Notamacropus eugenii: one gene and its partners. The protein of the gene in region 3 interacts with the protein of the main gene of each other region in a pairwise test. Links are inferred from orthologs where the notes say so. Each region holds a gene or a part of one and is shown on either strand. Other genes may lie near its edges.

Region 1 (7,475 bases), on a different chromosome or scaffold from region 3:
ATGTGAGTCACAGATCACTTATAGGCAACTGACACAGACTAAAAGTCAAACAACAGAAAGAGTTTTTTAAAAATTAGGGAAAAATCATGTGGAAAGCAATCCAGGGAAAAGGAGTTATCTTCCCTGTCTTCCCATTGATTGAAAGAAGAAGCCACCAACAGTAATGTCAGTCTGTTCCAACCTCCTCCATCAGTGTGCTTGGCTCTATAGAGAGAAAAGGTCTAGGGAGAACCTAATCTGCAATGATCAGAAGTTAGTCTCTGATCTCACATCAAAAATGCCTGAAAGGGCTTTTCTCTCTTCAACAGATACTCCACAGCAGCCACTAGCTTGTTGTTTCTGGAAACACAACTGAGAATCCAAACTGGAATCTGCCTAATGCTCCAGCTCATCTCCCTCTCCCCCAGTCATGGTCTCAACTTGGATAGCAATCCCAAAGAATCAATTATGACCTGTAGAACTTCAACTCTAATCATGAATATATCTGTATCTCTGAGGCACTCAGATCATAAATGTATAGTAGTTCCTTGGTCAGACTTAGAAATATTACCTGGTTGGATATTTAGGATTTTATTCAAACAAAAAACTTTTTTTACATTATTGTTAAATTAAGGCTATCTGTGAATTGTAGAATATTTAGATACTTATCACCAGGCCTTATTGTGATCTAAAGTTTCCTGGTTTTTCAACAAACAAGTTTCTTTTTCCCATTTTTTAAAGGAGAAAAATCAAGGGTAGGTTCGAAAAGGCCTAGGCTTGCCTGGTCAATTTGGGGGAACCCAGATTTCCTTGAGTGTTGGTTGGCTAATGTAACTAATGCAACTTCTATAACTCTCCCTTCACTAACCATTAGATTAAAAATTCCTTTGTTCATTTGTTATTAGTAATAACAAATAATAATGTCTAGCCAACATTTTATATAATACTTTAAGGCTTGCCAAAATTTCAAATAATCTTACTTGATCCTCACAACAAATCTGTGTGCTATATAATATGTTATCTCAATTATTGAACTGGAGAAGACCAAAATTCTAAGAAGTTAAGTGATTTGCTCACATCAGGAAGCAGCAGAATTTATATTTTATTTGTAAAGTAGTTATACTTTATACTGTTTGCTGAAACAAAGAGTAATCTCTGTCTTGAATTTTGTGGTAGGTCAGATGGGGATGGGAGTGTAGGTTTTGCATAAGTGATCATGAAGGCTGTTCACTAGGGTGCAATTGGTTGCAATGGTCACTGATGGAGAATGTATCCGTGTTGATGAAATCATATATCATTTGAAGGACATTTGAATGGATCTGACAACTAGTTATTTTGGAAGTTTCTTCTAGTGATTCCCATCCTATGTAACTCTGGTCTTCTTCCTCCTAAAATTTTACCTCCAGGAATCTATCCACAAGCAGAATAGGTCTTCCTTGAATCTAAACTATACAATAGTGCCAGTAGAGCACATGACCATCTACCTCTCACTCCGGACATATGACAAGTCCATCTTGTCTTTCTTTCATACGATTCTTGCTGACATCTTTTACAACTGTTCTTTTGTTTTTATGTTGCAGCCCTTTAATACCCACCTTGAATCTTTCCATTGCCTCTTTTGGTACTACTTGTCTTTAGTTTTTGGAGGGAGTGGTGTTTCAGATCTTCCTGAAAATGTTTGCATTAAAAAGATGGGCTTTTACTCTTATGGTAAGCTTGAGGGTCAATAAATATGCTTTGCAATCTCCTGAAAGCTCTATAAGCCTTTCCTCCTTTTCGACTCTGAGCCCAGCTCATTATTCATCTGTTTTTCTGTTCCAGATATACATGCTATTGGACAAGTTCTATTGGGTATCCATTCACATGTATGTGACACATGCCACAGTTGGACACACTGAAATTTCACTTTATCATGGTGATGTTATTTTGGTCCTCCTTGAAGACGAAGGACAACAACCAACCAACCAAATAACATGTGTGTCAAAATCTGGGCAGTAAACAGTCTTCATTCATTTGGTCTTTCCTGTGTGGGTAGAAAAGGCAAACTCCTTTGAGTGATTACAGATCTTTTTCAAGAGGCTCATGTCTTGGGGCTTTATGCAATCAACACAATGTCATCTGGAAGATCCCACCATCTACTGGGAATCCCTCCTTGATAGGGACTCATCATTGAATCTTCTTTTTCATGGTGGTATAGTGAAGCATTTACAGTGAAATTTAGCACCATAGTATTGTAGCTAGATGGGACCTTAGAGGTACCTAGTCCAAACCCCTTCAATGGAATTCATTATCTTTCCCCTCAAATCCTTCTCTCTTTTGACATTCCCCATTACTGTTGAGGGTACCACTGTTTACTCAGGTAACTTTCTGTTTTCATATCTCACACACATAAGTTGGTAAACTATTACAACAATTAAAGGAAGAAATGACAAGGACCTGAATTAAGGTGGTAACTTACTTGAGTGGAGAGAAGACATATGTATACACATACACATATGTATGTGTGTGTGTGTCTCCAAGAAATATTATGGAAATAGAAACAGCAAGATTTGAGAACTGAATGGACATGATAGGAGTGAGGAGTTGATGGTGATGCTGAGACTGCAAAGTTAGATATCTGTAAGGATAGTGCTTCTCTTATCATTAATAAGAAAGTCTGAAGGAGGGCTGGGGTTGAAGGAAGGAAAAGATAATGAGTTCTGTTTTGGATATGTTGAACTGAAGATGCCTGTGGGACATCCAGTTCTAAAACAACCACTTCAGCTGAGGTCATTGGTCTCTTCCCCTTCTGATGCATTTTCCACAAAGTTGCCAAGGTGATATTGTTAAAGTGTAGAGGTCCAACCAAGTCACTTCTCTCCACAAGAACCTCTAGTGACTTTGGGTTGACTCCTGGATCAACTATAAAGTCCCCTGTTGCTCTTCACAACCTGATCCTTTCCTGCCTTTAGAGTCTTACATTTTACTCCCCTGCACATATACTATGATCCAGCTATAGGCTATTTGTGGCTCCTCTTCCATGAAACCCCATCTTCAGTCTCCAGGTCTTTTGGGTGGCTCTTTCTCATGTCTGAAATGTTCTTCCTCTTCCCTGATGCCCATTAAAATCCCTGGCTTTCTTCAAGACGGCTCAAACTGCCTTTTCCTGACCCCTCAGCTGCTAGTGCCTTCCTCTCCAAGGTTAAGGTCCGTGTACTCTGTGTGTGGTGCATTTAGCTCTTTATTTGCATACCTCCTATATTAGAATGTAAGCTCCCTGAGGGTCTGCATTGTTTTGTTTTTCTTTGTATCTCTGGCAGTTAGTACAGTGCCTGGCACGTAGTGCTTGTGATTCATTGACAGGCGGGCAAACTGATGCCCAGGGGACTTGTGGCTTGCTGTACAGAGGCAACCCAGCTAGCAGATACCCAACCAGCCACGCTCTCTATCTCTCCTTTTATCTCCCCCACTCAAAAGAAAGCATTCCCCAGAAATGCCTGTCTTTAAGTAAGGAGAAGACTGTGTCTGATGCGAGATGGAGGCTGTTGTTGGGTGGGCACCGGACTGACGACGAGAAGCGTAGTCACCCCCGGTTCATCGATCACCCCGCCGGGCTGCTCCCCAGCGCCCCCTCGCAGGGGGGCTCGGCTCGGTTTTTGTCATTACTTTTAACGGGAGAGTAGTCTGTACGAGGAAGGGCCGGCGGCTCTCCATTGTCGCGGCGCTGCGCGCAGCCTCGGGTGTGAACGCGTGCTTTTGGTCCTAGGATCTGTGTTTCCTTTCCTTGTGATTGTCAAGGACATGGGCCCTCCGCGGGCTGGGTGGAAGTGACGGGGTCGTGACTCCGAGCACCCGAGCCTCCTTCTAGCCGTTTCGCGGGGGGGTGGGGGCGGGGGTGGGGGGACGCGAACGCACGGGATCAAATGCACCTATAACCGGACTCCCATTTCTAAAACAGAAAATAAAAATGCGGTTCGTCTCTTTCACAATTCGAGGAAGTCGGACAGAGAGAGTGGACACATCACGGGGATGAGAGGGGCAGACACAGAAAAGCCCTTTCCTTCTCTTCCCCTCCCCCATCCCCCATCCCCCCAGGCACCTCTTTTGACTGAGGCGGCAGGCGAGGACTGCAGCAGCTGCGGCGGGCGCGCGCGCGCGCTCCCCCGGCCTCTCCCTTGGCCCTGGGCGGCGGCAGCCGGGGAGCGCGCCTCGCTCGGGAGCGCGCTCATGCAGCGGTTTTCTTCTCCCACAATCCAGAGGCTTAGGCGCGGGGAGGGGTGGGAAGAGAGGAAAGTAGGCGGAAGGATATCGAGGGCGGAGGGAGCGAGCGCGTTCTCTTCCACGGGAGGGAGGCTGGCGGGCGTGTGCCAAGCCGCTTCAGAGGGTGATGCGGCTCTGCGGTTCGGAGCCGTTACTCTGACTCCTCCTGAAGGAGGAGAGGAGGCGGCGGCGGCGGCGGCTGGGGGGTGGGCACGGCCGTGATTTAGTCCCTGCGTGTCTGAGCCTAGGCAGGCTCAGCTCCGGGGAGACTCGCCGAGGGCCCCGGGTTAGGACAGCAGCGCCGAGCCCCCACCCCTGGGAGGGGAAGCGGGGCAGCCAGCGAGGTTTTGGGGCTACGAGAGGAGACATGGTATCGGTGGAGGAGGAAGGGGGAGAGCGTCGCCTTTGACTGGTGTGCGGCGGCGGCGGCCCGGGAGGCTCGGCAGCCCCGGACGCCCCCTCCCCTCCTCCCCGCCCCGCTCGGTCTCCTCAGCTCCGCGGAGCCCTCGCGGACGGCGGGGCATCTGCCTCGGGCGCTCGCTCACGCCGGGAGCCGATTGGTTTCGGGGAAGGGAGCTCCCCCCGGAGCGTCTCCTCCCGGAGCCGGGGAAGCTCGCGGGGCTTTTTGTCTCCTCAGCCCCAGCCCCCTCCAGATGCCTTTTCCCTGCCCCTCCTCGCCTGGTGCAGACATTGGCGGCTGCTGGCGGGGGCTGAAGCCGGACCCCGGGCTCCGCGATCGGCTGTCTCTGCTGCTTTGAGGAGGGACGGGGCTTCCCTCTCCACCAGGAGCTTCTGCTCCTCTGCGGAAATGGGGTTTCATTGATTCCAAGAAAAAAACTAGCGACCTTCCACCCATCCCCGTGGAAGATTCTTTTTGTTTTACCCCCCCACGTTGGGCTTAGTTTTTTAGAAAACAAAACAAACCACGAACGACACACACATCTGTAAGATGGAGAATGAGGTTTTTACTCCACTCCTGGAACAGTTCATGTCCAGCCCCCTGGTCACTTGGGTAAGTGGGGTCCCCCTAAGGCACTTTTCGTCTGGGGGCGGGGGATGCATCTTGCCGCAGAGAGGGAGGTCGGAGTTTGTTTAATGATGAAGGCCATTACATTTTAGGTTAAAACATTCGGACCTCTGGCTGCAGGAAGTGGGACCAATCTGGATGAATATGTAGCCCTGGTGGATGGTGTCTTCTTGAATCAGGTCATGCTACAAATGTAAGTACCTTTTCTTTCTCTGCCGGACATTTCGTCTTTGGTTAAAAACAAACAAAACCATTGTGAACTTCCAGTTTGGGGATTTGAAGTCATGTAGAGTTCTGAAACGGCTTTTTGTCCAGGTAGGTCCATGTGGTCTTTGAAGGGAGATGGTCCGATGCTGTCTGTATTTTGGTGGTATGATTTTTTAAAATTGTAAGGTGAAACAGAATATCGGTGTTTTTTCAAAAATTTTCATTTAACACCAGAATGTATTGTTCCGTGTTTGTTTTAAATATTGTAAATTCAATCCAAACTGTGTCATAATGTAGCTCCCTTACAAAATAAATTCCGCTTTCTGGAAAGAAGATGGAATGTATCCAGTTTATAAGAAAAAAACGGATCTCATATAAAGTACATGGATTTGTTGCATGGACATTTCTTTTGTACCTTTAGGATTAAAAAAATATTCAAATTTTGAATCTCTTAAAGTAACAGATTGTAGAAGATAGAACTTCAGACAATAGAAATGATTGGTCAGGACTATTGATGTGATTGTAAAAAGTTTTTAAGAAGTTTATAAAATCTGTGAACTCTTGCCAGATTTGCTGAGAGGACACATTTTTGGAGAATATTGAGGTTTAGATGCACAAAGCCTTTTTTTTTCCTTAAATGACAGCCAGTAGATTCTAAGTTGTCCAGTAGACACAACTCTTGGAGGAGGACACTAGTTTTTCACTCCTATGTCCACACAGCCAAGCAGAATGCCTTGCAAGTGCAATAGGTGCTTATTAAATGTTTGAATCGAACTAGATATGACTTAATAGTTAAAAACTCTTTGTTTCTTATGCTCATACTATATTGTATTAAGCAGTGAAGTGTGTTGCTATAGTGGAAGCTGATTATTGAAATACCATTTTTAACTGATTAAAAGAAAAATAAACACTTTTATTTTCATCAGTAAGTCAAATCTGTATACTTTGCCTTTTTAATAGAGGTTGCCAGAAATGAAAATGGTTTAAGTTCTGGACAAAGTGTAATATCATACTATCCGTATTAAGTAGCGCATGACATTTGGAACATTTGACATCAAGACATTTGACATTTTTGATACGTAGGAATTTAGTGCATTACTGGAAGCAATTGTTTTTAGGGACGTTTCCCAAAGAATGACAACTTGGATATTTTTTAGTTTACTTTTGTGTGTAAAATAATGTAGATCATATCTGCAAATTTATATACTGATAATTTTAAAGTGTATTTGATGGGTATGTTCTAATTCAGTGATTAACCTTTTTTTTGTGTCATGGACTACTTTTGCAATCTGGTGAAGCCTATGGACTTTTCAGGGAATAATATTTTTAAATGCATTAAATGCGTAGGATTACAAAGAAAATAAGTTATGTTGAAATAAAGATGTAATTTTGTCCAGTTCCAGTTTACACACCCCCTGAAATCTATCCACTAGGGGGTTTGTGAACCCTACCTTAAGAACCTCTCCTCTAAAGTAGTTTTTGTGCTGTTTTTCATATCTCTAGCCATAAAGCTATTGGACTGCTTAACATTTTCCCAAGTTGTCTTGTTTGCAAAATTTAAAATTTTTACATAATTTACTAATAATACAGTGAATAACATTTTTTGAATTGACTGCTTATTAAACATTGTAACCATTTCAACAAGTGTTTATTAAGGGCCTGCTTTGTGCCAGGTACTATAAATTGCTGACAGAGTGCTAATATGCATTGATAAAATGAGTTTCCTAAGTGGGAGTTCCCTATATCAATGAAATAACAGGTCTGGTTAAAAAAAAGAAAAAAGTGCCAGGCACCCTTGTAGGAACTGGAGATACAAACTTTATAGAAAGTTAGGTGCTTGAAAAATGTTTAGTTCTGGAACACTTAAGATGTTGAGAATCAAATAAAAAGCATTTGAATTAAACACATTTTCAAGGTTGCCTGATAGAAGATAAAACAGCTATAAGCAACTATAGCTTAAACTAGTGAATGGATGTGTATTTCATTTATGTATTTTTTTCCAAAGATTTTTTTTATGTAAGTT
Region 2 (7,030 bases), on a different chromosome or scaffold from region 3:
AGTCTGAGCTCTACTCTCAAGGAGCCTTACAGAGCTTGTAGAACTGGAGTCACAATCTGGACACGAGGCAACTTGCTGGGCCCCAAGGATCCTGGATTGTTCTCCCCAGATCCATCAGGCCTACACTTAGGTCTAGGTGATGCAATGCAGACCTTTGAGACTGAGCCTGGCTGAGCCAGCTCCAGTCGTGAAAAGCAGAGCAGGAATGAGAAACCAGGCTCAGCTGTCTGAACCCAACTGTTTCAGTTAGTTACTGGCCAAGCTCCCAAGGAGGCAACCCCAAGGCTCATCTCACGACCACTAAAATCAAACAACAGGCCAAAATAAGAGTCCCATGGAAACCCTTTCACAGAAGAGGGGAAGGGGACACAGAAACCTATACCTCCAGCTCAGTTTCCCGTCTGTTGATGTCATCCGTGGACTGGTTTAGTTTCTCCAGTTCCCCCTGGGGAAAGAAGGAAACAGTTTAAAGCAGGGACTCCTAACCAGAGGGGTCTGCAAATCTGGAATGGGGGGGGGGGGAATATGAAATCTCTATCTTCACTAATTTCTAACTAGAATTTAGCATTTCTTTCAATAACATACAAACATTCTTCTAAGAAAGGAAGACATCACCTGACACCTTAAACATGACTCAAAATGAACATGACTCAAACAAAGGTTAAGAATGCCTGATTTAAAGATTTATAGTTTTGTTTGCTTGTTTTTTTTAAAGTAAAGCTAGTGTATTACCTGGAAGCAGACACAAAGGGAACAAAATAGAAGATTAAGGGAGAATTATTAATCCTGACAGCGATCCCAAAGAAAATAGCTCAGGCTCTAGCTGGAATGTTAACTAGAAACAGAAACATGGATGAACTTTCTCATGTTTTAAAAACCTTTCCATGAAAGGGGTCCCTGGTTAAGCGGGAAGAGGAGATGGTGAAACCACCATTTAAGAGTGTATGAGTGTGTTTGTGTGTGTGTGTTTGTGTAAGATTTTAAGACTAAGTCTTTTTTTTCTGGTAATCCCACCAAGGGTTATTTCTCTTTGCTTACAATGCAAAGACTTATTCCAGGAACCTGACTTCAGAGTAGTAGAATCTGCTACCCTGGCATGGGTGAGTGCCCGAGAGCTAAGGGTTGATTGACTATCTTTTTAACATGGTAAGAAAGGAAGCCTGCAAGTCCAAAAATAAATCGAGGTCAAGAATCTACCCAGCTCCCAAAACTGTAAATCAAAGGCCTGACTTCTGACAATAGCTCAGAAGGTGCTGAGGGCTTTTTTCTTCTTTGTTAATGAATGGATTAAAAACAAAAACGGTGCGAGCTAGCCGATGGCCTTAGCGGTTCTTACACCGGAGAACTTTTATTATGACCCTGTCCCTGGCACTGAAAATTGGGGTTTGTAAAAGAGAGAGTTAAAGTTGTGTGATCGATACTCCGGAAACAAAGAACCTTGCTCGGAGCCTCAAAGAAGGTGGGAAGCCCTGGTTTCAAGGAGGAGAAATTGAATTATTTTCATTCAAAAGCCTCATTCTCGATTTCCCACCTGACCTTTATCTTGCTAATCGGTTCCAACAATTCATTCAAACCCCATCCATAGAGTTAAATGATCTTTTAATTGATTAGTGAACTGAAAAACCAATTAGGGCTCAAAAAAATTGCGTAAGAGCTTTTAAGCAATAGAAAAAATGACCTCGGGGTGGAGGAAGAGGCAAGATCCTGGAAAACATCATTTATTGTATTGTGTTTATGAGTTAGGTGGTTCTAGGAGAGGGAAGGTGAGTTCTCGAAGCCAGATCTCTGCCTGAATTCTGACCTTACTGGGTTTTTAAACTTGTTTTTAGGAGTCAGAAGCCAGAAAGCTCCCCTTGCCCCATATTTCGGCAGGGCGGCTCTAAATCCCTCCTGTCCCAGCCACCTATTCGCTGACCACAGCCCCAACAACAAGGAAAAAACCCAGGGTTTGCTGTAAGGACTCAGGCCAAGGGGCTGCTCTGCAGCGAGAACCCCACCGAAGTGACAATGAAACCACGCGGGCTAACAATGAATTAGAGGAAAGGGAAGACTTTCCTATGGGGATGCCCCGATGACTCACCCCACCTGGGGTCGGGGCACCTGCACACTCGGCTAGGGAAAGCCGAGGTCCTGGGCAGAATGGGTCCCTGAGGGACATCTGCTCCCACCGCGACGATGCCCATGAGGGTGGGGGCAGACCCTGGTCACGGGACGAGTCCTCTCGGTGCACGAGAAAAGGAAGGAGCCAGGACGTTAAGCAATTTCGTGGCCAGACCCAGAGCTGAAGCGCTACAACTAGGCACTGACCCAAGGGGCAGAGCGAGGAATTAAATCTCCCACCGCCAAGCCAGTGCGGGGCCGGGAGCCTCCCACTAGCCCCCCCCATTTGTCCTTTGTTGTCCACCTCCCGGTGAACCGCTATCATCTCCATCCCCAGATGCTGTCGGAGGGGGCTGCCAACAGCGGGAGCCCACGAGCAGCGCGCGTGGGTGCGGTAGGCGAAGTGGGGAGGCCTCGCCGAGGAAGGGGTGTCCGGACCCCCGCCACGTCCCCCCAAACCCCAGCTCCGGCCCAAATCAAGCAGCCCCCTCCCCTGCCTGCAGTCCACGCGGGCGTACCGCACCCACTGGGGGAGGGAGTGGTTCAGGGTGGGGGTGTCAGCTCGGGCTGGATGGGGGTGTACGAACCCGGACCGCCTAGAATGGGGGTGCAGCAACCCCCACGGACGCCCCCCACCTCGTACCTGAATGCGGGGGTCTACCTCCTCCTCCTCCTCCTGTTCCATCATCTCGGGCTCCATCTCGTCCTCGTCCTCGTCCCCCGTGGGTGGCGGTGAAGGGCTCACCTCTGCCAGCCGCTCCTCCGGCCGGCCCCGCTTCGGCGCCGCGTCCATGCGGGCAGGTTGGGGTGCAGCACGGCCCCGGGCCGGGCGCCCTCGGGAGCTCTGAGCGCCTCCGGAGCGCAGCGGTGCGGAGCCTGCCCGTGTGGCCCTTGAGCGCGGCGGACACCCGAGACCCCGGCAGCGTCCAGGAACGCCGGCTGGCCAGCCTGCCCCGGGAGGCTCGTCTTCCCCTCGGGCCGGGCCGCGGCCGCTGGAAGGGGAGGAGGAAACGCGGGCGCCCGCCCCTTCTGCCGATGCTGTCAGCGCAGCATCCCGGCCTCCTCCCTCCTCCTGGGCAGCCCTGCCCCCTCCCACTCTCCTGCCCTGCTGTCGGGACCCTCGAGGCCCCCCGGCCCGGCCCAGCCGGCCCGCCCGAGGGACGCAGCTCCCAGCGGCTAATGAGGGAGCAGGGGCTGGAACTGAGCTTTGGTTGTAATTCTGTATTGACGGTGCAGCCGGCAGTCACTGCCGAGCAAGGAGCCCATTGGCAAAGCCTCTGGTCCTAGCTGGGGGCAGAGTCTCTTGGTTATAGGATAGGTGACTGGACAGATAGTTCCTTATATGTTTATACTTATAAATCCGTGGCTACATATGGGACGCGTAAAACTACCTACACAGTTATACATACCCCGTAGTTACAAAAGTTATGTAATCATATGTAACTATATTGATAAGGATAGTTACATATACTACGTAACTATATCGTTATAAATATGTTAGGTATAGTATACGAATAACTATGTAGTGATATACTGTGTATAACTATAACTATGCATATCGTTATAAACATATAGTTTTTATGTAACTAGATTGTGTACATATATATATGACTATATGTGTGTATATGTATATACATACATACAACCTAAGTATCTTTTAAAATGCCTTTTTAGAGAGGGAAGAATCTGTTTGTCTCACTATTTAACCTTGGGTAATGGGGCAGCAGGAGACACCTGGTTTCTAAACCTGCTCCTGCCACTGGAGCCTCATGAGTTAGAACAGGAAGGAGCCTTAGGGATCGATCAAACAGTCCAAGAGATGAGGGCTGCTGGGTGGAGGTATCTCTGAACTTGGCGGGGCGGGTATCCATCTTATTTTCACTAATCTCCAACCGAAATCCAGCATTTCTTTCAACTACTTAAAAACTGTGACTCTAAGAAGGGGTCTATAGACTTTTTCAGATGGGCAAAGCAGCATATGAATCAATAAATATTTATGCTTAATATTTATGCCTACTATGTACCAGGCACCCAGTGCTAAGCCCAGAGGATACCAAAAGATACCCCACTAAAATGGTCCTTGATACAGTCCAACCCATGCCAGGTGCTGGGGATACAAACCATAGGCTCCTACATCCAGACTTGGAAGGGCCCTCAGAGAAGGAAACTGAGACCCAGGTTGAGATAATACATTGAAATGCTTTACAAACCTTATATAAATGCAGCCTGTTATGCTTGAGTCACATGCCCAAAGTCACACTAATAGTAAGCATTCAGGAGGGCTCTGAAGCCTCTGTGACTTAATAGCTAGTCTTTCCACACCTACCCTCAAGACAAAAAACCACAGTCCTGGCCCTCAAGCATCTCCCTTTCTATATGGAATACATTTTTATAGCTGAGAAAACCAGGTGCAGAAGAATGAAGTGACTTGGCCCAGTTAGGTATCTGTAATCTTGTTTCTAATTGACCCTCCTGAGGGGTTTGGACTAAAAGGTCTGAAAGTTTCCTTCTCATTCTGTATCGGTACCTGGAATGGAGCCCCCCAGTATGAGTCTATGGTGCTCCGTTCTCCTTCATTTACCTTCTCCAATCATCCTCCTTCCAGACTTCAGTCAGACTGTTCGTGAATATCTCAGATTGGCCAGACCAATTTCCTGATACAAAGGGGTGAAAGCAGGGATGTGCTGGTAAATGTTTAACACCCAGCTCTCCTGTGGGGAAGGAAATGTAGTTAGACACATTTTAAAGTTTTATCTGCATTATTAACATTTTTTCCATCACTTTCTCAAATCTAGACAATCAGCAAATCAATACATCAAGCCATAACTTGTAGTTTGCCAATTTCCAAATTATGAAGTCTCACCCTTTAAATAGTCTGGATTTGAACTTGTGAAGATGAATTTTCCTGACTCCAAACAGGGCACTCTATCCACTATGCCATCTAGCTGTCCCAAGTTGATCCATAGGTCCATCCATTGATCTGACCTTTCCAGAAGCAATTAATCAATCAACAAACATCTATTTAGGCCTACCACGTGCCAGGCTCCTTGCCAGGCTCTAAGGACAAAAGTACAAACAATGGAATGATCGATACTCACCATGAACTCATGTTCCATTGGGGAGACAAGAAGGACATTTAAAAATAGATAAAACATAATTATAAAATTTATAAATACATGTTGACAAATAGACTAAATACAAAGTAGTTTGGGAGGGAGGCCACTAGTGGTTGGGGAGATCAAGAAAGGCCTTATGCAGAAGATGGCACCTGAGCAACGTCATAAAAGAGAGGGACTTTACGTTGGAAAGAATGGATTTCATGAATGTTGGACAGTCAGCACAAGAAGATGGCCTGGAGATGGGAGGAGAGTTGGTATTGATTTGATTACTCTACCCAAAGTAAGAGATAAAAAGGTACAGGACACCTCGTAGTGACCAGACCAATACAAGAGGGCTGGATGGGATGTGCAGTCTGGTCTGCTCTGGGGCCTGTAGTCACCAAGGGGAATTCTCTCACCAATCCCAGCTGAGGGTCAGAAGCCCAGCCTAGGGCTGGAGCTCCAAAAGCTGAGTAGATTCACTCCCCTAGGGACTTGGGGCATAGTTTCTGGAAGTATCAGTGAACCACTTCTTTACCTGGATGAAACACTGGAGAAGGACTTTAGTGAAACAATTGTCCATCTCTCTGATTCATTTGATGCCAAGTCCTCAGTCACAGGCACAATCTTAAGCATAATATAGTTGTTACTAGAAAATACAAACTGGGAGCCAAGATGGCAGAGTAACAGCATGGACTTGCTAGTGCTTTCCCCCCAAACCTAGCCAAATATATGTAAAAAATTACTCTAAACAAATTATGGAGCTACAGAACCCACAGAATGACAGACTGAAGCAAATTTCCAGCCCAAGACAGCCTGGATGGTCTCCAGGAAGTGTCTATCATGCCACACTGGGAGCAGAACGCAGGACAGTGTGGGCCATGCCAGCACAGATGGGACCTGAGCAAGCCTTGGAAGGACTGAATCTCAGGCACCTGTGGCGATTTCCAGACTTCATGACCCCAAAATGCTGAGGACAAATTGGAAGGTCAGTGGAAAAAACCTGTGAGACCAGTGTGAGAGAGTAGAGTGGTCTGACCCCAGCCCCGGGGTGGTGGAGGGGGTGGAGCAGCCTGCAGAGGAGGAGCCCAAGGCAGCAGGAGCAGGGGCAAGGGCAGCAACAGAGACTGTTTCTGGAGCTCTAGGTCCACAAATTGTGAGGGGATCAATCAGCTGACAGTACACCCCCAACACCACTGGAATCAGAGAACTACTATGACAAAGAGATCACGAGTCAAGTAAATGGCTGGGAAAATGAGCAAAAGCAGAAAAAGAATCAGACTATAGAATCTGACTTTTGTGACAAGGAAGACCAAAGCATACAAACAGAAGATAGCAAGGTCAAGGCTCCTACATCCAAAGCCTCCTAAAAATATATGAATTGGTCTCAGACCATGGAAGAACTCACAAAGGATTTTGAAAATCAAGTAAGAGAAGTAGAGGAAAAATCAGGAAGAGAAATGAGAGTGATGCAAGAAAATCATGAAAAAAGGAGTCAACTGCTTGCTAAAGGAGACCCCCCCAAAATACTGAAGAAAATAACACTTTAAAAAATAGACTAACCCAAATGGCAAAAGAGATCCCAAAAGCCAATGAGGAGAAGAATGCCTAAAAAGCCAGATGGAAGAGGAGGTTTGAAAGCTCACTAAAGAAAATAATTCCTTAAAGATTAGAATGGAGCAGATAGAAGCTAACGGCTTTATGAAAAATCAAGAAATTATAAAACAAAGCCAAAGGAATGAAAAAATAGCAGACAATCTCATTAGAAAAAACAACTGACCTGGAAAATAGATCCAGGAGAGAAAATTTTAAAATTATTAGACTACCTGAAA
Region 3 (8,104 bases):
AGAAGGGAGCTACATTCCCCACAACCACTAGCAAAAGTGCAGACCAAAATGAGCACAGGATCTCTGAAAGCAGAAAAGCCCCCAGGCCACCAGTCCTGCTTTCATATCTGATTATGGTTGTATCATCCAATGACCCCTTTGGAGAAGGGGTCATTTCCACCAACTGTCACTCTCACAGAAGGCATGTCACGCAGCAATGTGACACCCTGAAGGAAAGATAAGAGGCATGTTAAACCACCACCATTATATTGACTATCATCCCTTCTCAGACCCTGGTGGAGACACCTAGGATCCTGAACCTAAGAGCCTGGGAATAGCAATGCTTCCAGCTTGGTGACCACAACCATCATTCTGGAAAGCCACCCTTGCGGAGATTCAGTTTGACAACTGTTCCTATAGGTGTGCCAGGTGTTTAAAAGACCTAGAAAAGAAAGTTCTTGCCACCAAAGTCCTTGGCCCTGTCAAATGTCTCAACATCACAAAATGATCTGATTTTATCAATGGAAATATCATTAAAGAAGTATTAGCATCTGCTTTGCCACTTCATCCTAAGGATCATGGGACCTTGTCATCTGACATTGGTAAAATCTACATATGTTCTCTCCCATTAGAATGTGAGCTCCTTGAAAGTAGTGACTGTTTTACTTTTATATTTGTATCCCCAGTGCTTTTGTAGCTTGTAGCACAGTGCTTTTCACATATTAAGTACTTCACTCATTCATTCATTCCCTACTACAACCATCTATTCAAATTCTAACCATTCTTCAAAATCCAACTGGAGTCATAGCTCTTCCCTGAAGCCAAGTCCAAATGGATCATAAATCAAAGACTTAGAACTAGAATGATCTTAGATGTCACCCAGTCCAACTCTCATTTTACAGGTAAGGAAACTAAGGCCTAGAGACGCTTCCTGGTCTACCCAATATCAATTAGTACTATTCCAGCCCATGTTGATTTTTCCCTTAGATCTCTCTAGTATTTAATGTACTATACAATCTGCCACTTAATCATATTGTTCTTTCCACTAAAATCTTAATCTGATACCTCCTCATGGCACAGAGGTGACTCTAAGCTCTCTATGTTTGTGGAATGTAAACTCTGGCAGGTCTGGCATCAAATGGAAGTCTGGCTATTCTTCTGTATTTCTGTCAACTGAAGACTAGCATAGCTAAGTAAGGAGACCCTGAATGCCAGCTTAGCTACCACATACATTTTTTTTATCTACAGTACTTCAAACACCACAGCTAGGACAGAGAAGTTGTAGTCTGTCCTGGAAGAGCTAATGCCTGTCACTAAGGAAACTAAGGATCCTTTAAGTATTTTTCTGTATGTATTTCATTTATTTGTCTTAACTCCTCAATTATACCCTAAGATTCTTTGAAGGCAGAAACTGTCTGGTATTTAGGACTGCAGATTTTTAGCTGGAAGGGATCTGAGAGATAGTTTAGTCCAACTTTTTAATTTATAGATGAAGAAACAGGTCCAGAGAAATGAAGTGACTTGCCCACAGTCAAAAAGGTACCTAAATGGAGTCTTGTACAATGCTGGGCATATAGAAGATGATCAATAAATACTTGTTGATTTGGTTTAAAGTGAATAATGGTAAGAAGGCTAAAAGGTTTCCCCATAGTCAATATGGCACACTAGCAGGAATTTTATCAGGAGATCTCTATTCTAGACCTGACTGCCCACTACTTCAATGTAAGACCTTAGGCAACTTACAAAATCTCTGAGTTTCAGTTTTCTCTTCTGTAAAATAAGTGGTTTGTACTAGATGAATTCTAAGGTGCCTTCTACCTGTAATAATTACTGATTCTAATTAGTTATGAAACAAATGAGAAAATAGATCTCGTGGAGGACATGCAATTTAAACAGGAGATAGTGTTTTCCTACTCAGCTGGAAAAACAGGAAAATTACAAATTACTCCAAAGGTAAAAATACTCAGTTGGCCTCTGGAATAGTACAACTCTGGTAATACAACAAACGTTTCTAGCTAGAGCCAAAGAGTATCTAACTCCTTCATTTCAAACATGAGGAAACTGGGGTCTTTGAGAGGCCAAGGGACCCATCCAAGACCAATTACATTTGCTGTGGGATAGCAGCAGTACCAGGTTAGAACCCCCGGTTCTTGACTCCTACTCTGTGCGCTGGCCACCACTCACTTTTGCCAGGGAACATTTGCGGGAACCACGCATCATTCCTTCTTTGCTGCAGGGAGAGTGGAGAATTCAGGATGCACTCACATAAGGGAAAACCCAGACATGCTCTAGAGCAGGAATTCGTAATCCTTTTTTGTGTGAACATCTTTTGCAATCTGCTGAAACCCATGTATCCCTTCCCAGAATTTATTTTAAAAATTTATAATAGAAGAAGATACTAATTTTCAGATGAAGGTTAGTGAAAATAAAGATGCAGGTTCTTTTCCCCCATATCCAAGTTCAAGGTCCCCCTAAAACTGATCCGCAGATCCCTGTGGGAGAGGTGTCCACTGATCTCAGGTTAACTCCCTGCAGGGCTCAGTGGAAAAGGAAGACTCTGGAGGTACGAGAAAAAATATCTGGCCTCTGACAATGGCTAGCTGTGTGACCCAGGTCACTTCACCCTGTTTGCCTCAGTTTCCTCATCTGTAAAATGAGTCAGAGGAGGAGATGGCAAAAACCACTCGGGTATCTCTGACAAGAACGCCCCAAATGGGGTCAGGAGGACGCTGAACGACAAAAATGACCATTATCCTGTCAGGAAGCTAAGCCCCGGACCCAGGCCCGCGCGGAGCAGGAGCGGAGAAGGCGCGGCCTGAACGCTCCCCTCCGGGCCCGCGCGGGGGGCAGGGCAGGGGCGACGCCGGGGAGATGACGGCCGCGTCTCTCCGGGAGAGGAGCGGCCCCGAGGGGCGACCACGGCCCTTTCCCAAGTCACCGCGCACAGGCCGCGGCCTCCGCCTCCCCCTTACCCGAGCCGCGCCGGGCAGGCTCCTCCGTGAGGGCACCGGGCTGGGGCCGAGGACGCGGCAGTTAGCCGGAGAGCTCTCTCTCTCTCCCTCGGGCTCCGTCTCTCCAGGAAGCTGCGGAAAAGCTCCGGCCCCGCCCATTTCCTACATCCGGTCACGTGATCGGGAGTCAAGCCGGAAGGAGGAACCACAGAGAGGGAGGGAGGGAGAGGCAGAGAGAGACGCAGACAAACACAGAGCGAACCAATAGGGACGAGGCTGGGAGACCCGGGAGGGGGCGGGGTCTGGGGCAGGCCCTCTATCCCGTGGACTTCTGGTCACTTCGCCCTGGAACGGGGCACCTTTGGGAAATCTGTAGTCACCCTCTCAGAATAATATTTTTAAATAATTAAAGGGAGAGCTCAATTTGCTAGTGAAAATTTAAACCCAAACCCCTCTGCCTCAGGATGTAAGCTCCTTGAAGGCTGGGACTGTTTCCTTTTTGTCTTTAATTCCCCATCGCTTGGCACCTCACTTGTTGATGGATTTGGGGTCTTCCAGTTGAATGAGGAAACTTGCTCCTACGGGGGCTGTACCACAGATGGCTACAATGTTTCATTCGCTGAGACACTCAGAATGTTACTAAGTTACATTAAGTATTGTATCTACCTTGTGTAAAGCACTGGACGAGGTGCTGCACCTACAAAGATTAAAAAAAACACGCCTTTGCCCTCGTGGGATTTACAGGAAAGCATTATGGTGACTGAAGCTTTGAGATGTTCTTTGCCTAAGGTCTGAAATTTAAACAGAGATACTTATTTTGCCAGTTTCTTTTTAATTTTGTTGAGTGATTTGTTCTTTTGGGGGCACATGAGATGGGGGTAGATTTAGAATCAGGAGGATCAAGGTTCAAATTCTACGTCAGACCTCGGTTGACAACATGGCATGCTGGTCTACTCAAGCTCTGTTCACCTCAGGCAAATTCCCTATGCTTTACTTATCACATGATCAAAGGAGTTTGTTCCTCACCGCAGAAAACACCTTTTCGCCTTGTTGGCTGAATCCTTGCTGTGGTCCGTCAGGTAAAGATCACTTTTTTCTGGGACTAAAGACCCTCCTTTGCACTGAGAGGACCTCAGTCCAACCTCACTGCTTATCCATCACTTGATGTTACCACTTATCTTTTGGAATGGGAAGGGCTCTCCAACTGGAGGTTCACTGCCAATGCTTTTGTCTGCGCACCCTTGTTCTCTCTCTCTGGTCTGTCTATGTGTGCTGTACACACATATATCCAGAAGAACTCCTAGGCGACCTTTAATGTTGTTTATCCCTGAAGTTGTTCTGAGGATAAAATTAAAAGAATCCCTTGTTTTCAGGGATCAATGACATTTAGTCTAGCCTCTGGACTACAGTGCTTCCTTCATGTTCTTTTTTGTATCTGAGTTCTGCCCTTCAACAGACTAACTCAATTATTTTATCAGGTAGTAGAATTCTGTGTAATAGGTGTTTGACATTTCAAATGTTGCTTTTTATTATTATTTTATTTTTTATCATTTCTATAAGTAGAAAAATCTAAAGGGCAGAAACTATAATAGTTGGCATTTATATAGACTTTAGGGTTTGCAAAGCACTTTGTATATCTTATACCTCTTTTATATCCCTAATGCTCTATATAAAATGGGATCTTTGGATTTAGTTAACTGGCTGATTTAAAATGTGCCCAGTTTTGCATTCCCTCATGCAGCAAACATTAAGTTCTATACCTATTTTGTAGATGTAAGTCTTAACAGCTTCCTTTTATAGATGAGAAGGTCACAATTTGAACCCAGACAGTCTTATTCCAAATTCAATTTTATTTATTAATGATGAAGGAGGAAAGGAGAGTTAAAAAGCAGGAATAGGCAGCAATGCAGTGGAAAGACCTCCATCCTTATACAAATGAACATAAATTTGTGTAAATTATACCATGGATAAAGTAGAATTTTAGAACTGGAAGAGTCATTAGAAATCTGCCTCCAATCCATTCCCTCAGTTGTAATTTTGTACCTGAGATTAATTAATTTTGCTATCAGTAATATTTATTGGAATAGAGAGTCTGTCTCTAAAATGCCCAAGAAGTTTAAATAAAGGTTCTTGAAATCAACAATGTCCTTTCCTATCATTTCTGAGAGCAAGTTTCTCCCCAGACAATCCACAATCTACACAAATTCACACAATGGGACAGAGGTGTGAGGGTCCTGGCAAACAATTGAGTAAGCAGGTCATATTACTTCAGAGTACAATCAGGCATTTGACCTATGAAACAACATTTTTTTTCCTGGTAGTCTGCTATCTACCATCAGCATGCTGCCTTGGAGATTTGCTTGACTTGCTTGGTGGCTTCAGGATTAACAAGAATGAAAATATGGGTAGATGGAGATATTGTGCCAAGCCCTTTGGGCTTACGGAATGACCTTTCAGAATGAGGAAAGGGGGCTTATTTTATCTCTTTCCCTGTAGAAACAAGTCCAACTCTACAAATCTGTTCATGCCCCCTTTGAGTCCCTTATTCAAACTCCATTTGATTGTTGGTTGAAACAGGTGGCTGAAGTCCCTTAAGGAGTATAAAATTATGAGTTTATCATTTTTCCTGGGAATTGTTTTCTTTACATTTCTTTTTTACGCTTCAAATTTTTAGCATTGTTCACTTTCATGAAAGCTAAAAGACTTCCTAGCATTCTTCATTTATCTATGTATCTGCTTAAGGAAGGAAGATTTTCACAGATGTCAGAGTACTGATGTCACTGGAAGCAGTACATAACTTCCTTGAAACAATAAGACAGTGCGGTTTATAGAATTATTTATTTGTAAATGTCATGAGATGGGATGGGGGAAGGGACCCAAACTTTGATGTATTTTATGGTAATTTTAGACTTTATTGCAAATATGAATGCAATGTCACTACATGGGCTGAACCACCCCTCTGATTTCATTCATTCAGTCAACAGTCAACAAACATTTATTAATGTTCCAGGGGTTGTGGTGAGTGCTGGGGATACAAGGAAAGGCAAAAAACAAACCACAACAAAGTTGGGAACTCAAGTTGAGGTTGTTAACACCCTTTACCAATACAAATCGGCACCTTTTCTTCCCTGTACAGTCTTCTACAGTTGTCCAGGCCACTAAGAATTTCAATGACTTGCTTAGGGTCAGCCAACCTATATGTGTCAGAGTCAGGGACTCTAGGACTTCCTGCCTCTGAGGCTGCCTTTCTATGCACTTTACCAGACTACTTCTTTACCACTACATAATTCTTTTTAAAAACTATATTGTAACTGTTATATAAAAGCATATTCCTAAGGAGGGTCAGCTTCTCCACTAAATACGGGTAACAAGTACTGCCGTCTAAGTGATTTTTGTGAACATTTTAGATAACATCTATAAAGTATTTTAAACAGCAAGATAGAAGCCATTCAGAAAAAGCCAGACATATCTATAAATAAGAGAACTCTAGAAGCTAGATTAGCATTGTCATCACTAGGAGTATTCCCGTAGAGGCTGGATGAGTATTGGTGGGGTGTATCTTAGAGGAGATTCCTGCTTAGATAATACTTGAACTAGATTATCCCCAAAGTGGGCACTAGGTGGCACCATAGTGCTTAAGTCTGAAAGATTCATTTTCTTAAGTTCAAATCCAGCTTCAGATACTTACTAACTGTGACCCTGGGCAAGTCACTTAACCCTATTTGTCTCAGTTTCCTCATCTGTAGAATGAGCTGGAGAAGGAAATGGCAAACCAGTCCGGTATCTTTGCCAAGAAAACCCCAAATGGGGTCCTGAAGAGTCATATACAACTAAAAACGTCTGAACAGTAACCACCCCTAAGATATCCACTCTGAAACTCTATGATTTTCGTGATCTGTCTTTATGAGACTAAGAATATGGAAGATAGTGATATCATAATGGCAACATGATATTTTACAATTATCTATTATTTCTGAGTAGAGCAGTCCATGGTTCTGAACCAAGACTCTTTTAGAATAGTGGTTCTCAAAAAGCCTCAAGGGGCTTACTGACTGCTTGCTTAAGAATCAATGTTTAAACTATAACATTGTCAATACTTTTGTTTCTGGAAATAATTTATTTATAAAATGTTACTTACAACATATTATTACAAAATGATTTATAACACAATAAGCTTTTATTGATGTCTTCTGTTTCTTACATTATCATGGTTATTCCCAGTGTTCTTCCCCCTCTTCTTCCTAGAGAGCTATTCCATATAACTAATAGTATTTCTTTTAAAGTGGAAAAAAATCAGCACAACTGGAAGATACATTGAAAAAAATCTCAAAACATGTGCCATGTGTAACACCTGTGGGAAGGGATGTGCATCCTCTCATATTTCTTTATTCAAGTCCCACTTGATCTATATAATTTTATATTCACTTTTTACTTTTTTACTGTCTGTTCTTTCGATTTACATTAATTACTGTATATGTTGGTTTTTTTGGCTTACGTGTTTTACTCTGCATTAGTTCATATAGATCTTTCCAGGCTTCTCTGTATTTATCACACATGTAATTTCTTTTTTTTTTTTGGTTGATTTATTTATCATTTATTTTTTAATAATTTTTTTCTAATTACATATAAAATCAATTTTCAACATTCCCTTTTTAAAAATTCTGTGTTCCAAATTTTTCTCTCCAAGATGGCAAACAGCTTGATATAGGCTATACATGTGTAATCATGTAAAACATGTTGTGAAAGAAAAAACAGACCAAATAAACCCATGAAAAAAAGTAAAAAGTAGTATGTTTTGATTTGACTCTGTCAGTTCTTTCTCTGGAGGTGGATAGCATTTTTCATCCTGTTTGGATTTGGATTTGTTTTGGATCATTGTATTGCTGAAAATAGCTAAATTATTCACAGTTTATCACCATGCAATTGCTGTCACAGTATACAATGTTCTCATGGCTCTGTTCATTTCATTCTTCATCAGTTCATGTAACTCTTTCTAGGTTTTTCTGAAAGCATCCTGCTTGCCATTTACAATAGCACAATGGTATCTCATCATGATCATATAACGCAGCTGTTGGATCATTCCCCAATTCTTTGCTGTTACAAAAAACAACTGCTACAGATCCTTTCCTTTAAAAAAGGATGTTGGGATACAGACCTAGTAGTGGTCTTGCTGG
Region 4 (7,250 bases), on a different chromosome or scaffold from region 3:
CTCCAATCTTTCATCTCCATCTGCCTTTCAGAAATCTTGAACTGAATGTCCAGTAGACCTCTCAAACATGTCCCAAACTGAATTCATTATCTTTTCTCCTAAATTCTCCCTCTTCTCCCCTTTGCCCTAACTTTTCTATTACTACAGAGATCAATGTCATGCTACTAGTCCTTCAGGTGAGCAACCTGGACCTTACCCTAGTCCTCACTATCTCTCATACCCTCCCCATATCTAATCTGTTGCCAAGGTGTTGATTTCACCTTCAAAACAAATCTCAGATGCCACCTTCTGTCCTTTGACATTGCTACCATTCTAAGTTCAGGTGCTCATCACCTCAAACTTAGACTATTCTAGTATCCTTCTGGTGGGTCTCTTCACTCCAGTCTATCCTGCATTGAGTCACCAAAGTAATTTTCCTAAAGTGCACATCTGATCACATCACCTCTCTCCTGAATAAACCCCAGTGGCTCTCTATGGAATCTAGGATCAGATACAAAATCCTCTATTTGGCATTCAAAGCCCTTCATAACCTAGTCCCTACCTTTCCAATTTTGTTACACCTTACTCCCCATCACATTTTTTCTGATCCAAACACTGGGCCTCCTGGCTATTCAAACAAATAAGCTGCTCTGGGCACTTTCTCTGGCTGTCTCACATACCAGGAATGCTGTCCCTCATTATCTCCATCTACTGGTTTCCTTTTTTTTTCTTGATTTAAAATTTTTTTTTTAACATATAATTTATTTTCAGTTTACAACATTCACTTCCACAAGATTCTGAATTCCAATTTTCTCCCCTTCTCTCCCCAATCCCTACCCCTAGACAGCAACCCCAAAAACCCCTTCTCCCAATCTGTCATCCCTTCTATCACCCCTACCTTTGGGCAAGACAGATTTCTATACCTCTTACCCAAACATCTTATTTCCCAATTGCATGCAAAAACAATAGTGGCTTCCTTTTAAGTCCCTACTAAAATCTCATTTTCTACAGGAAGAAATGAATTCTAGTGCCTTCCCTCTGTTATTTCTTATTTATCCAAAATAAAGCTTGCTTGCACTTATTTGTTTACTTGTGGTCATTCCCTGTAGATCTTGTTCTCCATGAGGGCAGGGATTGTCTTTAGCCTCCCCAGATCTTGGTACTGTGCCTAGAACCTAACAGATGCTTCATGTTTGTTGACTGACTAAATAAACACTTGGCAGTCATAATTAAGCAGAGCGGAGAGAAGGTGCTTTTTACTGAACTGAAATGACTACTTCACTACACCACAGAGAAGACAAGGATGGGGTATGGTAAGACTAAAGTGTTTTGGTTTTTTTTAAAAGATTTGCAAAATGCTTTAACTCTACTGAAGTAGAATGTATAGTCCTTGACTGAATGTTTCTATTACAGAGCACAGTGTATAAAGTAGATCATAGGATTTAAAGTTAAAAGAGACTTTGGAAATCATTTGATTCAACTCTTATTTTACCAAAGGAGGAACTTTAGCTCTGAGAAGTTAAAGATTCGCCCAGGTAAGTGGGGGGAAAATAAATATTTATATAGCATCTATCTGTAAAGTACCGTGCTAAGGACTTTACAAATATTATCTCATTTGATCCGCAAAACAACACTGGCATTATCCCTTTTTACAGCTGAGAAAACTGAGTCAAACAGAGGTAAGTAACTTGCCCAGTCTGAAGTTGGATCTGAAGTCAGGTCTTCCTGAGTCTGGGTCTACCCTTTTATCCACAGGACCACCTAGCCGTCTCCCATCTCTAAAAGCTTCTAATCTAAAGGAGGGTGGGGGAGAAGGGCGGAAGATTATTATAAAAAACACAAGAAAAAGTATAAATGCAAAGGACTGGTCCAAGAAAAGTGATTTAAGAAAGGGATGGAGGTGAGGGACCCCCAGGGTACCTCTATGGGGAAAGGTCTTCAGGAGGAAACGTCCAGGGGCTGGCTCTGGAGGAGAGGGATGGGCTTCAACAACACCTTCCCAAGCACGGAGGACGGTGCGAGGAGTCAGGGGCCTGAATTCAAATCCAACCTCTGCTGCTTACTGCCTGGGAAAACCTAACCTCCACTGACCCTGGCTCCTTCTCCATCAAACAAGCGGCCTCAACGAGTCATCTCTGGATCTGATCTCCCACGGGGGCTGCCTGAGCCTGGAGAGGCAGGGGGGCGCCGGGGGTGCCGGGGCCCGGGCTGCCAGGGGTGCCAGGGCCCGGGCTGCCGGCGCCCGGGCTGCCAGGTCTCGGGGCGCTTTTCCTACCTGTTTCCCCGGACTATTATTCCGAGTTAGTGTCCCGGGGTCGCCGGCCTCGGGGGCAGCCGCTAAGGACGTGGTTTTAGCTGAGGGAAGGTCCATCTCCGGATGGACAGGAGGACGTTCAGGTCTGCTCTAGAAACAAAACAGGAAACAAACTAGGTTCCAACCTCCAACCACCTCTCCCTCCCCGGACCCGAGCCCAGTTCTGAGGCCTGTCTGTGACTCCGGTGCCGCGGCCGAGGGGGGCTGCCTCTGACCCGAGGCTTCGGGCCACCCTGGGGCCGGGGCCCGCGGCTCCCAAGCTCCGCTGCAGCCCCGCCCCAGCCCGGCCGGAGGCGCGCTCGGCCCCGGGGCGGCCCAGAAGAACCCCAGGCCCAGCTGCCTCAGCGTGCCTCTGGGGAGGGCGGTTCCAGCTGCTGGCTGGGCCGGGACTCCGGCCTCGGCTCAGAAACGGGGTTCGTTCCTACTCGCGGGCCGGGGACACACGCTGCCGCTCCGGTCCGAGAACGCACCTGAGGCGGCGCTTGCCAGAAGCGCGGGCCGCCTAGGAGAATGGGCCCCACCCACTCCAGACAGAGGAAACGGCCTCGCTGTACGCACGCGCGCTGGGGTGGGGATTACAGGCCACCGGCATCCACGCCCCGCCCCTTCTTCGCTTGGCGGGAAACATAACCAAACTCGAGACGAGACATCATTGGTCAGCCGAGCGGAAAAGGCGGGGCAGGAACGAGGGGGGCGGGGAGGGGCGGGGCTTTTGTTTGCTTCCTGGAACTCCTACTAGATATTTAAAAAGCCTACCTCGGCGTTTGCGCGCTTTTATTCCGCCACTCCCTAAAGAGCTACGTAAGGACGTCTAGGCCCCGAATCTTGGTAAACGTAGTCCAAAGCTGCCACCGCGTCATCCCCTCCGCTTCAAGTCCAGCTTCCACAACAGAACGGATCGGGGCCATCTCCCTTTGCAGCCGCCCGGTTACACTCGACGAGGTCCAAGAGGCCGCTAGAATCCAAGGCAGAATTCGAACCTATTCGAACTTCGGCCTTGCACACGCCCTAATTCACAAACCCACCCCCTCCATCTTCTCCTGAAACGGATCCTTGGCTCGGACGCCGCTGTGCCCTCCTTCCCCGCGCAGTGCCCCATGGGAATTCCCTAATCCCTGAGATCCCCTGGCCCTTCCCCCTCCATGACTTCCTAGTGCTTTGGGGGTTAACTCTCATAGCCTGTGTTACGTAAGACGGAGGCGTCGTCTTGGAAGTGCGGCTTGGCGGCGCAGTGCGGGGGAGCCCCGGCCCGGAGGGGAGCCCCGGCCCGGGGTCGGGGTGTGAGCTCTGATGTGGCTTCTCCGCTCCGCGGTGTTACCCGGAGCAAGGCCTCTGTCTGCCTCAGTTTCCTCAAATGTAAAATAAGTTGGAGAAGAGAATGGTGAACCACCCAGTGCTTGACCGAGAAAAGCCCGGGAAAAACAACAGTCCGCGGGACCTGGGAGAGCCGGGTAAGCCCCGGGTGGGAGGGGAGAGCCGGTCTTCTCCCCCCCCAAGCCTTCCACCAGGCCCAGGGGAGGCCCAGCTTCAGGACTCCGCGGGGGGCGGCAGAGCGCTGCCCCTTACGTAAGGGTACAAGTGCATTTGTGAACGCGCCTGCTCCCCAGCAGGGATCCCACCGAGAAGTGGGGAGCTGAGCTGGAAAGTGGCGTGACGTCCCCGCAGGCCTGGGCAGCTCCGAAGCCGAGTGAGCGCTTCACCCCAAAGCAGACGCTTGTGTGAGGTGTAGACCTTCGAGGTACAAGCTTACCTTCGGAGACTCCCCTCACTCTTGTTGGGGGGCGCTTACACACTGATCCTGGGTTTATGATAAACACTTATTGTTTACGCTCAAGCCTGTAGCTGTCAAGGTTGGTTATTACCAAGAGTATCTTCTGATTTATCCATCAAAAGGCCACGGCTCTGACCCCTGGAATTCCCCACTCCCCTACCCATTTCCTGGATCTCCCCCTCCCCTTGGGAATGGGACCCTCTGCTTCCTTCCTTCCTTGGACCAACCTAATTCCTGCCTTTTCTCCCAATTCTTTATATCATCCTACCCACTGCTCAGTTGAGTTGTTCAGCATTAGGCTGACGGCTCCCATGCACGTCTTATTTCCCTGCTTAATAAAACCTTTAATTTCATAGGCATTGTCTTTCTCTGGTTTTCTTCCCTTTAGGGAAAAGGGGGATTTGGATCTCAAGAATTGGCCTTTGTGTTCTCAGGCTGTTTTCCCCTTTTGGGGAGAAGAGAGATCTAAATTCCCTAGAGTGCGCTCCAGTTTACAAAAAGGAGCAACCCCTTTGCCACACGTGATTTCCAAGCCTAGCCCACGTTTCCCTGAACTTTATATGCACTTGTGGCAGTACTCCCGTTTGGGGGGATGGGAGGAGATGTTTTGCACTCTTCTTAATATACTAGCATAATCAATACTTCTTTCTAAAGGTTAAGTCTGGCTAGCTAATTGATAGGACCTCATAATCAGTTGGGGGCTGCTGGGCAATGGCATTAAAAAGAAACCCCCAGTCACTCATCTTTACACCTTGAACCCTCAGGAAAGAAGTAGGCAGCCACCCTCTAGAGGTTTGCAGCTTTCCAGGCTGCCAGAGGCAAAAGGGCTTTGAGATAAGAGATAGAGAGGCTGCACTGATAGAATGGTAGCTGTTCTGATCTTCACTTTAATAAGAGAGGAAGCTGAGAGATGATGTCCTTTGCCCCTGTTCACAAAAGAGCCAAAATCTGGACCCAGATCCTCTGATTACGTACAAATCCATAGCAATTACTCCAATAAACATTCAACTGTATCCCACAATTTTTTTTAATTAGAAAGGAGTTCCATTGGTGAAGACAAGATTAATTCCATTACAGTTGTGAGCTCAAGTTGACAGCAACACATTGAAGTAAACATTTGCTTCAGGCATTAAGAGACCAAAATGTAGAAAATATTGATTTGAGAATCTTCATAATCAGTAGAGAGCTGATAGCACAAGCTCACTGTAGGAGTAAGACATCCAGAGGAAGGCTCAAAGGCCTTGTGGGACATGCAAAGAGGAAGCATCAAGCTAAGGAAACAGAATGAGTGTAAAGGAGAGGATGGGTATGAGAACAATCTGTAAAAAAATTATGCAACATTCCATACAGGATATGATTTTTATTAGTATGGAGGGAAACCTAGAGAGCAAGGTATAGAACCTTTTCTGCTGATCACTCTCCCCTCACAGACCATAATCACAGGCCTCAGGACTGTTCTGAAAATAGAGATCCATGAAATTTTGATAAGTTTTCTCATCTGTCAGGAAGGCTGATACTGCAGGATCCTTCTTCATGGCTGCTACCCAGAGCTTCAGTTTTGAAGTGTGGTCGATACAACTGAGAGAAGAGATTTTTTTTAAAAAAAGAAGGGAGTTATTACTTGCATGAAATCGGAAAGCACCACAAATTTTCACATTTATTAGTATTTTTCCTTGCAGTTTATTTCATTTTTTACTATAACCTTTAAAAAATACTTCCCCACCTTGAACAGACCATCCTGTACCCCTGGCCACCCTCTCTAGGACTGGGAAATGTGGGGGAGCAGTATTGTGGGGATTCTTTTTCAGCAATGAGTTAGACTAGATGGAGCCTGCAGTCCCTTCTGGGTCTGAATTTCTGTGTTTTTCTCATTTTCCCTATCATAGTGGGTTAGAAGGTGTGAGGAAAGGTTCATTTAGACCCCTACTCTATTCTAATCAGTATTAATAAATTTGATATTTTATGTAAATCATATATGGATAATTAGAAAAGATAGGTTCTTATAGTAGGCTTCCAACTTTAATCCAGTTTTTAACACTTGTTTACCAGTTACAAAGCTCACTTGCACACCCACAAGAATGCTGACAAAGATAACTTCATCCTGTTTTGCTCAAATTCCAAGTCCAAACCCAGTGTGGATGCCTTAATTCTTTGGAAAGTCTCCCCAGCTAATTTTTGTACCTCCAAACCACTCTCTCTTGTCCCAGAAGGTAACCATCTTATGACTCCTTAGTCACCAAAGATGACTATTGCTTTGCCATATTATGAATAATTAGTCAATAGAGACGTTGTGTGCTTTACCCAACCTAGGATCCCCTTGCTGATAAACTGTTTTTTAGTTGACGCACCATTTTTGGCCCTCAAAACAAGGTTTATCAACCAATGGGATTTTGTATTTTGTGTCGCCTCTCAAGCGTCCAGGTATCAATCCTATATAAACAAGGTCCTGGTGATCAAGGGTGTCTCCAACTGCGAGGAAGATATGAGGTCCACTTCATTAGAGGGGGCCATGGACCCTTTAATAATATGCTATTGGCTTGGAGCTGTGACTGAGGGACTTTTCTTGCAGATTGGACAATTTTTGATCCCACAGAGGAAGAATAGGTATACGCCTTCCTTACTCTTATTTTCAAATTGTCCCTTTCTTATCATCATTCAGCAAGCATCTGCTTCTTTGAAGTTCACTACATCCCTCTTGATTATCTGAGTCCAAACTTTGTCTTGTGTCCAGATTTTCACATCCAGATCATTCTACCTCCTTTCTTTTCCTCTTTTCTTCATTTCCTTTTATATATATATATATATATATTTTAAAATTTAATGGATTATTTGTTTTCAGTTTTCAACAATCACTTCCATATGTTTTAAATGTTTTCCTCCTCCCTTTCCTCTCCCTCCCCAAGATGGCATGCAATCTTATATGGGTTCTACAGTTATATTCTCAAAAGTCATGTTGCATAGAAGAATTAAAACAAATAAGAGAAACCATGAGAAAAACCAAACCAAACCAAAACATAACACAAGAGAAAATAGTCTGCTTCCTTCTGCATTTTGATTTCGTAGTCCTTTCTCTGGATGTGGATGGCATTTTCCCTCGAGTCCTTTGGGAATGTTTTAGGTTCTTGTGTTGCTGGGAAGGGCTAAGTCTATCAGAAACAGTCCTCGAACATTGTGGCCTAGCTCCTT

The links.
Region 1: the proteins of EXOC1 (region 3) and CCDC88A interact in a two-hybrid assay, tested with the Homo sapiens proteins (2 studies listed by BioGRID and IntAct). The link is inferred for Notamacropus eugenii from reciprocal best matches to the Homo sapiens genes EXOC1 and CCDC88A.
Region 2: the proteins of EXOC1 (region 3) and SH3BP5 interact in a two-hybrid assay, tested with the Homo sapiens proteins (2 studies listed by BioGRID and IntAct). The link is inferred for Notamacropus eugenii from reciprocal best matches to the Homo sapiens genes EXOC1 and SH3BP5.
Region 4: the proteins of EXOC1 (region 3) and SFR1 interact in a two-hybrid assay, tested with the Homo sapiens proteins (2 studies listed by BioGRID and IntAct). The link is inferred for Notamacropus eugenii from reciprocal best matches to the Homo sapiens genes EXOC1 and SFR1.

Annotation. Positions count from the first base shown.
Region 1 is NC_092872.1:650,806,485-650,813,959, forward strand, and holds the start of CCDC88A (girdin), read left to right. Parts: upstream 1-4,292; 5' UTR 4,293-5,167; coding exon 5,168-5,230; intron 5,231-5,337; coding exon 5,338-5,438; intron 5,439-7,475. UniProt on the Homo sapiens protein: Bifunctional modulator of guanine nucleotide-binding proteins (G proteins). Acts as a non-receptor guanine nucleotide exchange factor which binds to and activates guanine nucleotide-binding protein G(i) alpha subunits.
Region 2 is NC_092874.1:38,577,295-38,584,324, reverse strand, and holds the start of SH3BP5 (SH3 domain-binding protein 5), read right to left. Parts: upstream 3,133-7,030; 5' UTR 2,894-3,132; coding exon 2,744-2,893; intron 446-2,743; coding exon 383-445; intron 1-382. UniProt on the Homo sapiens protein: Functions as a guanine nucleotide exchange factor (GEF) with specificity for RAB11A and RAB25. Inhibits the auto- and transphosphorylation activity of BTK. Plays a negative regulatory role in BTK-related cytoplasmic signaling in B-cells.
Region 3 is NC_092877.1:107,216,307-107,224,410, reverse strand, and holds the start of EXOC1 (exocyst complex component 1), read right to left. Parts: upstream 3,182-8,104; 5' UTR 2,952-3,181; intron 1-2,951.
Region 4 is NC_092872.1:182,660,346-182,667,595, reverse strand, and holds the start of SFR1 (swi5-dependent recombination DNA repair protein 1 homolog), read right to left. Parts: upstream 3,157-7,250; 5' UTR 3,050-3,156; intron 2,901-3,049; exon of another isoform or gene 2,644-2,900; intron 2,384-2,643; 5' UTR 2,351-2,383; coding exon 2,255-2,350; intron 1,945-2,254; exon of another isoform or gene 1,900-1,944; intron 1,773-1,899; exon of another isoform or gene 1,672-1,772; intron 1-1,671. Other genes in the region: glutathione S-transferase omega-1-like, read right to left, coding at 5,489-5,642. UniProt on the Homo sapiens protein: Component of the SWI5-SFR1 complex, a complex required for double-strand break repair via homologous recombination. Acts as a transcriptional modulator for ESR1.